2 linked regions of the Schizosaccharomyces pombe genome follow. The protein of the gene in region 2 interacts with the protein of the main gene of each other region in a pairwise test. Each region holds a gene or a part of one and is shown on either strand. Other genes may lie near its edges.

Region 1 (4,418 bases), 350 kb from region 2:
AGAAGGAGAAAATGGAGACGATTGGGATAATTGGGAAGTTTCAGAAGATGGACAGAATTCTGATGATAGTGGTGGCTGGATCGATGTCGATAGTGATGACAATATTGAATTAAGTGACAGCGATGAAGAGGAAGAGAAGGCCACTGCAAGAAAAGAATCAGATGAGAAAGGATCTTCTTCACAAAAGGAACTAGTTGATAGAATGACCGAGCTTGCGTCTCAATCTATTTTGACACCTAATGACTTGAAAAAGTTGGAAGAGCTTAGGGAGCAAGCGGGTGTTGATCGTCTCGTCAATGGACCTAAGCGTTCTTTAAAGAGGCCAGACGATGCCGTTGAGGCTGATGAAATTGAAGGTCCTAGAAAAAAGGCTAAGAACGACCGAGAAGCCCGTATTGCTAGTGTCATGGAAGGACGTGAAGGACGTGATAAATTTTCATCTAAAAAGGCAGGTTTTAACCCAACAAGTCTTTCTAACAAAAGAAAACAACGTAACAAGAACTTTATGATGATTAAGCATAAATTAAAAGGTAAAGCTGGACGAAGTCTTGTTCAAAAGCAAAAAGTTTTACGAGAACACGTAGCTCGTGAAAAAAGGAAAATAAAGTAAGATATTGATTACTATATTCGGTTTATGCTTTTCCTTTTGGGGCATCTTATATAGGTATATTTAATTAGGTTTTGGGTTTACATGATTGAGGGATAACCTATGGTAAAGGTGGATACTGGAAGTGAATTTAATAATATAAATTACTATCATTATTAAAGATAAACATATAAATCTCGTAGCGTCATCATAAAAAGTGTAAATCCTTAACTCACAGAAAATGCGTTATAGAATAAACAGTATCAAACCACATAAACTTTACGAAGAAGTTGGAATGGAAACTCTTTGCCAGAATAAGGGTCTCTAAGAAATCCTTCTCTAGTCCCATTAGCTTCGTTCCAACTTATGAGGCTCTGGATACCATAAACTCGACCGTTCGGGAAAGCAACAGGACAATTGTCGCTGTCAAGTCCTTCGCCTGTCAGAGAATCCACTATCGCAGACTGAGTAATATGGGCATAAGGAAGAGCTTTGCCAAGGTCATTTAAGCAGGGCGTACATACAGGGCATTGTTTCACAGTCTGGGATTGTAATGCTAAAGGATTATCATCATTCGCGTCAAGATAACACAACGGGGTTTTCAGGGAAGATAGACCAGCAGCTAACAATGCATGTAAAAGAGGTACAGACGGTATATTATGAACGGCAGTAAAATTGCTGGTAAACAAGGAAGCCAAATATTCCCATCGGTCATCGGATAGAAGCAACTAATTTGTCAGTATAAGCTAAGAGCAGAGGTCTCTCAATGTAAACTTACCGAATATGGTGAACCATTCGTAAATTCAGGAAAAGCTAGTAGGGCAGCCGCTAGCTGTAGTCGAGCAGGATGTTCATTTGCCCAAGTACCGAAGTGCGCTTTGGCGAATGCAATGGCTTGGCAAAGTTTTTTACTTTTTATTAATTCTATAAATCTCTGTAGTCGGACCTCAAGCTCTAATGTACTATTATTTTTTTTTAAAATTGCTCGATGCTCCGAACACCAAGACAAAACCTCTTTGAGCTCCTGTTGAAGAATGGAATCGTGAATGAGCTGATAACGCTTATATATGCCTAAATCAACCAAATTCTCCAACTGAGAGTCTTTACAAAGTAGAGCAGCTGCCCCATGGTACCCATTCGCCATCATATAATCAGCAACTAAACGATTCAGTCTGACTCTTGACCAATCTAAAAAATCCGCAGATTCCATGTCACGAATTCCTTGAAGACGATTCATGAACAACAGTCGTGACTTAGTTTGCTTGATAAACAGAGCTTCACAATCATGCAAATGCTTCATCTACACAAAGAACCATGTAAGTTACAAATATCCAACTCAAAAAAAGAATCAATCAAACTTACCTTCTTCTTTACAGTACTGACTCTTGAAAGGAGAGAATCTATTTTTTCTATTTTTTCATCCATTGATGCATTCTCTTGACTGATCAACGTTGTCAATGTGGAATTGATCACATGCGATTCATGCTCCAAGTGCCGCAAAATGTGTTTGAAGTTAATGCGCAATTGCTCAAAAGAGAGAAGAATACCAGGCTTTTCAAGTATATATTGCTGCTCTGGACGAAAATTCATGTTTGAAGGCAAAGTCTAACAAACTATTGGTAGATGGACCCAAAAATTTAAATCAACTAAAGAATATTGAATATTTTAAGAATAAGAAAGTAATTAGAAGAATTTGTTTAAATGTAAGGAAAACAGCAATTGCAGAAAGACGATGGGTTGTTGGCGAAAGATACACTTTCTAGGACCGTAGTGCAAGATGAATGAAAAATAAGGAGAGCTAAAAAACAATAAAAAAAGAGGTGCATATATTAATTTATGTCAGGAAAATCTGCAATTGGTATGGAAATCTCCTTTTTGGAATGCCCCGGGTTAATTTTTACCAGTCGACATTTTCGTGCCAAGTACCAATTTTCAAATGTCGCTGGAAAAGTCCTTGGACGAAATTATAAATGAAAGAACGGTAAATTTTTTTATTTTCGATATTTGTTTTAACAATCCTAGAATGGTTTTGATCACAAGCACAGTCGGCGAAGGGGATCTCAAAATCGTATTTCCAAAAAATCGCGATTGGTATGCTAATTTCGAGGATTAAGTGTTTATTTACTAATTTTTTACTTTTTAAGACCTACAAATTCAAAAGAGCATCAAAAGAACACAACTCTAGTCCAGACGATGGCCCGTGGCAGCATGACTTGGATCAAGAGCAGGATGCTCATCCAAGGACCACTCACCTACAGAAAAGACAACAGTATGTTTTGAATTTATAAGATAAGCTGTAAACTTTTTTATTACTCTATTAGCTCTTAGTCTACATGCACTGTTATTATCATTATATACTAACACAGCAATCTTAGCTCAGAAAATCGATTTGGGGTTCGTGTGGAAAACTTACATTATCAGGTTTTGGAAAAAGATGTTTTGGTAAGTGATATATGTTTACTATGTTTTCAAAAGCCTCGCTTTTAGTTTTCGATTGAAGATTATGAAACGAACCTGACAAAAAATCTCCCTGTCAAGCTAAGTAGAGCTTTGTTCCGATTTCGAATCGCTTTTTTTATTAATAAACTAACCTTTTCTTAAGTCTTTGTTTGAAAATTTCCATCCAATTCGCGTGATTATGAACTATGATCGTGCAGGTCGCTCTGAAGGCTCCTGCGATGTTTACTTTGAAACTTCCCAAGATGCTGAAGATGCCCAGAAGACGCTTCAATCTACGAACTTGAAGGGCTCCGAAATTCAAATTTCGAAAAAGTCTCCACCTTCCTTATTCGATCGGATTTCCGACATGCCACATTCAGCCCGCAAACCAAGCCGGTCTTCTCGTTCGAACCGAGGATTCAACCGTTCTTCAAAAAAAGACGACAGATCATTTCGTTCTTCTTCAAAAAAGTCTTCTAATAATTCAATTTCACACGAAGATTTAGACAAAGAACTTGACGAATACGCAATGTCATTTCACGCTGCTTCAACTGTGTCATCTCACTCATCACAGGATTTCACACCGTCAATAGCCAATGCTCATGAGAAAAACGAGCCTGTTGCTCCTTCAAAAGATAGTAATTTGACCGAGGAGATGGACCTCCAAATGGAAGCGGTTTAAGCTCGAATTGCTGTGCAAGTAACCCTTTTCCTATGCCAAAAGTTGATTATTGAGTCAATTGCTTTGATTTGTACATTATAAAAACGAACCGGCTAAAAGGACATCTTTCATCATAACCCCTTACTTTATATATAGATGCTCGTCAATTTCCATCGTCTTCCTTCTTCTACCACAATCGTACGAATCGTACCAAAAATTAAAATTTGCAGCAGACAGATTCATATTACCTTGCAAGGCCAAAAATTTATTAATTTTATTTTTTTTATTTATGTTTATAAGTGCTTGTTAACGAAAGAGATATTTTGTTTTTGTTTCTGGCATTATTCCATTCTATTCCTACTACAGTGATCATAGCAATTAACAATACATCATCACTGTGCTCTTGTAATTTGATTGAATCGTTTTTGACACAATCTTTCATTCTTTAAAATAAAATAAATTTATATATTTCTACATTACATTCTTATTTGTTAGGTAGAAATGGGATTGGGATTTTCTTCGAAAAAGCAATTACCTGCCTACTGTGGTCCCTTGCCTGTGGGGTCTTTAGTCTTAGAGCTGAGTGTTCCAGAGGAATTTCGATGTGAATATAAAACCATTGAACACAAACTAAGAACCGTAAAAGTACGCATTTTTTATCCATTGGACCCAACAAAAGATGTAGAGCCTCGCACCGATGAGCTTTGGTTACCATTCCATGAGGGTATACCC
Region 2 (5,160 bases):
GCAACTAATCCGGGCTGTGGTGTTATTGATGTTTTACCAAATTGTATTTCACGCGATATGCTAGGTCGGGAGGCTGTCAATGGATTGTATGACTACTTCCGCACAAAGTTTGGTGATGAAGATTCTATAGCATTCCAAAAAGCCCGTAGTAACTTCGTACAAAGTATGGCCGCTTATTCAGTTATTACATACTTATTGCAATTTAAGGATAGACACAATGGAAATATCATGATTGACGACCAAGGTCATATTTTGCATATTGATTTCGGTTTTATTTTTGACATTGCTCCTGGAGGTATTACCTTTGAGAGTGCACCTTTTAAATTGACAACAGAGATGATCGCTGTTATGGGAGGCAGTAATAAATCGCAGCCATTTCAGTGGTTTCAAGAGCTTTGTGTCAAAGCATTCCTTGCCTGCAGACCTTATGCCCATTATATATGTCAAGCTGTGGAGGTTATGTTGGATTCGGGTCTTCCTTGTTTTAAGGGGCAATTAACTATTACTCATTGCCTGGAGAGATTTGCTTTGAATTTAAATGAACGGCAAGCATCTACATTTATGCTTCATTTGATTGAGCAGAGTTATGCAAACAAACGTACGCTTATGTACGATCAATTCCAGAAGGCCACAAATGGTAAGATGATTTTAAGCAATATAAATGAGCAACTAATTACTAACTTTTTTAAGGTATTCCTTATTAATATAAAACAACCAGCAATAATAATTATTATCCGTTTAAGTACCTTGCAGCTAAGTTTATTAGATCTAATATAACGATCATTCAGTCATAATAGTTTCTTCTGCAATGTCTTTTTTGTATTGTAGTACGATAATTTATCACATTAACTATTGAATAATGAAACGCGTTTACAGGTATCGCATTGTCAAGTATCTGTTGTATATTTTAGCATATGGCAACTCACTCTTGTAAAGGCTTTATGAATGTTAATTTAAAAAAAAAACAACTTCAAATAACTAGGTATGTATTTTTGAGTCATTTGCTGCCTGCCATTTTTTACTAGGATATAAATAAATTATGGTAACTTTCCTTCTAACAAATACGAATATGAAGAAAAGATCAGAAACATTAGGCTCGGATCAATCTAGGTATGAAAGTAAAGGGAAAAATAATTATAAACGTATACTAATTAAATCAGCTCTGAAATAATTGAGCATGTTTTGGAAGAGTTAAACCTCAAAAACATTGAAAGACGCGTCAAAAAGTATGACCAAATTGAAAGCGAATACAAGACCAATATAGAAAATGAGAAAAAGGCTTTTATAAAGGATGTTTCCCAGGTTCAACAGAAAATGTACGAAAATAAAACGGTAATCCTGGCAGTCATTAACATCAAATTATAGAAAGGAATTTGAGATACAAAAAGCGAATCAAATTAAACAATTGAACGAAGAAAAGCTTTCTATAGAAGCTAGAAAACAACAACTCGAAATCGAAATACGCAATCAGTTGTTACAGTATGCCGAGAAACTGCGAATTGTTGTTAAAACCCCAATGAACCAACCAACAAATACAGAAGTATAAAGTCATTTTAAACACATTATATAAACTAGTGCCATAAAATCATAAAACGAATTAAAAATATGTTATGAGCATACAATTTAATTGAAACTTCAAACTTGAGAATTGAAAAAGTAAAGTGAGGCTAATCGTTTCTAAAAATCTAAATCCGTTCTTTTTATTAAACGCTAAAAAATGGGTAGTAAATGAAATGAATAAACACATAAGTTTTCATGGGAATAATTTACATGGAGGTAATGTTATAGTACTCCTGGACAGGCACGCTGGAGCGAAGGAAAGTCTGCAGCTTTTCATCTCCTTTCTGCAATGCATTCCTCTTTGCTTTATTTTCAGATATTAATGCAGCTTTCCTCTTTAAAAGTTCCTGCTTTAAGGTGGAAAGTCGTTGACGTTCTTTCAGTTCGTCTTCAAGAATCGCAAGCATTAGATCATGATCATTCGAACTCTTAAATTCCGGGTGTTCCTTCAAAAATTCTTCTTTTGAGACGAGTGGTAACGCTGTGTATATATGTCTATTAAAATGGTTAGAAAGAAATGAACAAAGACTTTTGAAATCTGAAAAAAAAAAAAAAAAAGGTAAGGAACTTTCACGTACTCCTTTTCTTCGTAATTTTTTATTATCGTTTTTAAATGCAGCTTTTTGTACTGTAACGCCTGAAGCCGTATACGGGCGTTATCGAGTTCAGACTTGTGTTCGGCTGTTATAGTCTTTGCTTGTACGAGCTGTTCGTAAGATTTTCTATTTGCTTCTCGCAAGATTAAGAGCTTTGACATTAACTGTCGTTTAATTTGCTCGGGATTTTGATCGTCGGCATCTCTGCTATGCTGTTTCAACTCATGAATTCGCAAACACAATGTTCGAGTTGAGTCAAGAACGTTCAAACAATCTGATATTGCATTTTCTGTCATTTTTACGACGAAATACTACTCTTTCTTGGAAATTTTGTAGGAGGAGGTTTCCAAATTGTTTAAAAGAGTAGACGTTTGGGCTTAACTCGTCAACTCAGTATAGCTACGCCTTTACTACCATAAAGGTTAACTGACTAAAACTAACTTCTTATAAGTTGAGCCTTGAATTTATTGTATATATTTGAGAGATTTTCGTTGAATGTCTTTTCAATCAGAGTTCTCGTAAAACTATTTTACTAAACATCAAATCACGTTTTTTTTATCCGTTGCATATATTCAACTTCACGGTTCGGTATCATTTTGATTGATACTGTAAACATTTGGAATAAGTGAGTATTTGGCTATTGAAGAGTCGGTAAAAAAAAGTGTGCTTTCAATGAAAATTAATCAAAATACTACTGTTGATTGCGGCAACTTGATTCTCGTGCCATATCAAAAATGCCATGTGTTAAAATACCATAACTGGATGAAAAATGAGGAATTGCAAGAGCTTACTTGTTCAGAGCCTTTAACTCTTGACGAAGAATATCAAATGCAGGCCTCATGGAGTACTGATGAAGATAGTATGTTATGATGGTTCAACATTCGTGATTGATCAATTGCATCACAAGTTCTAATCATTTTCTAACGATATAGAGCTGACGTTTATCGTTTTACTAAACGAAAACGATGAAGCTAAGAAACCTTCAATTTTGGATCATGTAAAAGCCCACAGCGTTGAATCAATGATTGGGGATGTGAACATGTTTTTGACTGAGGAATACGCAGACGGTATAGAAGAATTTGATGATTCTCCCAGTGATGCTAATGCTACCAATGCTACGAAGGAGTCAGAGGTACATATAGTAGGTGAACTTGAATTGATGATTGCAGAGCCTCAGAATAGAAGGAAAGGATATGGAACCAAGATTGTAGATGCATTTTTGCACTATGTTGAATCCAGTGGAATTGCCAAAAATAAGCAAATCCTTAAGTATCGAGTCAAAGTTGGCTCCCAAAACAAGCCTAGTATTCGGCTATTCAAGAAATTGGGCTTCTCTCAAGTTAAGTACAACGCTTATTTTGATCATGTAGAGCTTGAACTAATGAGGACTTCATAAGCGATGCAACAACGCTTAAAGTTATTTACTTGTTTACTTTATGCAAGTGTTACATGCAGCGAACTACTTTAAAAGGGTTTATTAAAAATTGTTTTCTACACAACCCTATGGCTAATTATACCTCTCATCTCGCAACAACAATTATTTACATACAGACCTTTATTTTATAATCGCGAATTGGGTCTGCTTATAAAATTCGTGAACAACTTGGATAATTTCACCGATTTCTACTCTTCGATTTTTACATTACATTACAAAATAATATGAATACAATCTTTATTGATCATTTTACTTTTGAAAAAGAAAATTTTTGTTTTTAACTGAATGCAAAAACCATGAGAGGTTTCTTTTTCATTAATCACTCAACCAGAAACTTTATGCCTTCTTTCCAACCTCAGTAACGGTCAAATCTATAGAAAACTTGTTAGCTTGAGTTCACTTATATGAACGATTAACTCAGAGCTGATCATTTGTTTCACGAATTATCAACGCTTTAGGAAGAATTCCTTCGCAAAATGCTTTAAGGAAATGTAGTTCCCTCAATAAAAAGTAACTGAGTTAATCTTTCTTAGTAGTTTATATAACATACCGGGAGGAAGAGATTGACGGAGCTTCTCAGCCTTCTTGGCGTCAGCGACAACCAAGGTATACAAGTACTTGGAACAACGAAGCTTGAACTTAACGTCCTTGTTAGTGTTCTTCTTGATGCGGGCAGAAGTAGCATCCTTTCTGCGAGCGATCTCCAAGAATTGCTTAATGTCACTGATTTGACGAGGCTAAAACATGCATTAGTCGATGGTCATTCCTAACACTGAATATATTTTACAGAGACAACTTTAACGAACGAAAGATGAAAACAGTTTTCTCTTCCATAAGCTGCTGAAACCTCTACTTATCTCACTTACCATTTTGTTGAGCTTGGTGAAAGACCAAGAATTCATTCTTTCCAGTTTATCAAAATTTCTGTGACTGTGTTTTACAACTCGAATGGTTTGTAACTCGTTAAAAAGAAATTACGAGCTCTTAATCAGCCGGTATTCGCTCAAGGGGATTAACACTATCCTTCACTATACTGCTTGAATGGGCGTTAGATTGAAGTTCGTTTTTTAAATTGCTTAGCTCAGGTATATACTAAGTGTACGTGATAATAAAATTAAAAAAAAATAGAATAAGAGATGGTCAATATTTATATCTTAATCTATAGTTAATACTTTAATTTTTCCATGCATAATGTTTTTGGAAATTGATAGATGAAGTGTAACAACAAAGAAATGTTTTCAATAGATTTACATATCCATTTGCTATATCTTTTACATCTTTCTATTAGGATCAAACGACTTTATGCTCTTCGTTTTTGAAAACTATATTACATCAATTGCGAAAAAATAGATTTTTACAATAAAATGCTTTCATCCTATCCAAATGTGGATCAAGGCTCTATCTGTCTGTCTACAAAGTATTAACAACATAGCAGCATTCTTGTGAATTATAAAGATAAAGCATACTAACTACTACATATAGAGGAAGTTTGATTTATATGAGCGTGCTTCTATACGAATTTTTTGTTCCACGACGGAAACGACTTTTAAATAAACTCATGAGAAATTC

The links. The genes of interacting proteins can lie anywhere in the genome.
Region 1: the proteins of tho5 (region 2) and tho4 interact in a two-hybrid assay, tested with the Schizosaccharomyces pombe proteins (one study listed by BioGRID).

What each region holds. Positions count from the first base shown.
Region 1 is NC_003423.3:400,454-404,871, reverse strand, and holds tho4 (THO complex subunit), read left to right. Parts: upstream 1-2,506; 5' UTR 2,507-2,522; coding exon 2,523-2,567; intron 2,568-2,608; coding exon 2,609-2,677; intron 2,678-2,730; coding exon 2,731-2,855; intron 2,856-2,872; exon of another isoform or gene 2,873-2,961; coding exon 2,962-3,028; exon of another isoform or gene 3,029-3,188; coding exon 3,189-3,707; 3' UTR 3,708-3,918; downstream 3,919-4,418. Other genes in the region: SDA1 family protein, read left to right, coding at 1-610; gid9 (ubiquitin ligase complex subunit), read right to left, coding at 850-1,314, 1,365-1,886, 1,949-2,176; plg7 (1-alkyl-2-acetylglycerophosphocholine esterase), read left to right, coding at 4,188-4,418.
Region 2 is NC_003423.3:753,952-759,111, reverse strand, and holds tho5 (THOC5-like protein), read right to left. Parts: upstream 2,536-5,160; 5' UTR 2,453-2,535; coding exon 2,139-2,452; intron 2,056-2,138; coding exon 1,767-2,055; 3' UTR 1,547-1,766; coding exon of another isoform or gene 1,366-1,546; 3' UTR 1,317-1,365; coding exon of another isoform or gene 1,161-1,316; 3' UTR 1,111-1,160; downstream 1-1,110. Other genes in the region: 1-phosphatidylinositol 4-kinase Stt4, read left to right, coding at 1-637, 691-704; meiotic recombination protein Rec27, read left to right, coding at 1,070-1,110, 1,161-1,316, 1,366-1,546; SPOM_SPBC577.03C (GCN5-related N-acetyltransferase), read left to right, coding at 2,829-3,015, 3,089-3,552; rpl3801 (60S ribosomal protein eL38), read right to left, coding at 3,928-3,962, 4,142-4,328, 4,458-4,460. UniProt on the Schizosaccharomyces pombe protein: Component the THO subcomplex of the TREX complex, which operates in coupling transcription elongation to mRNA export. The THO complex is recruited to transcribed genes and moves along the gene with the elongating polymerase during transcription.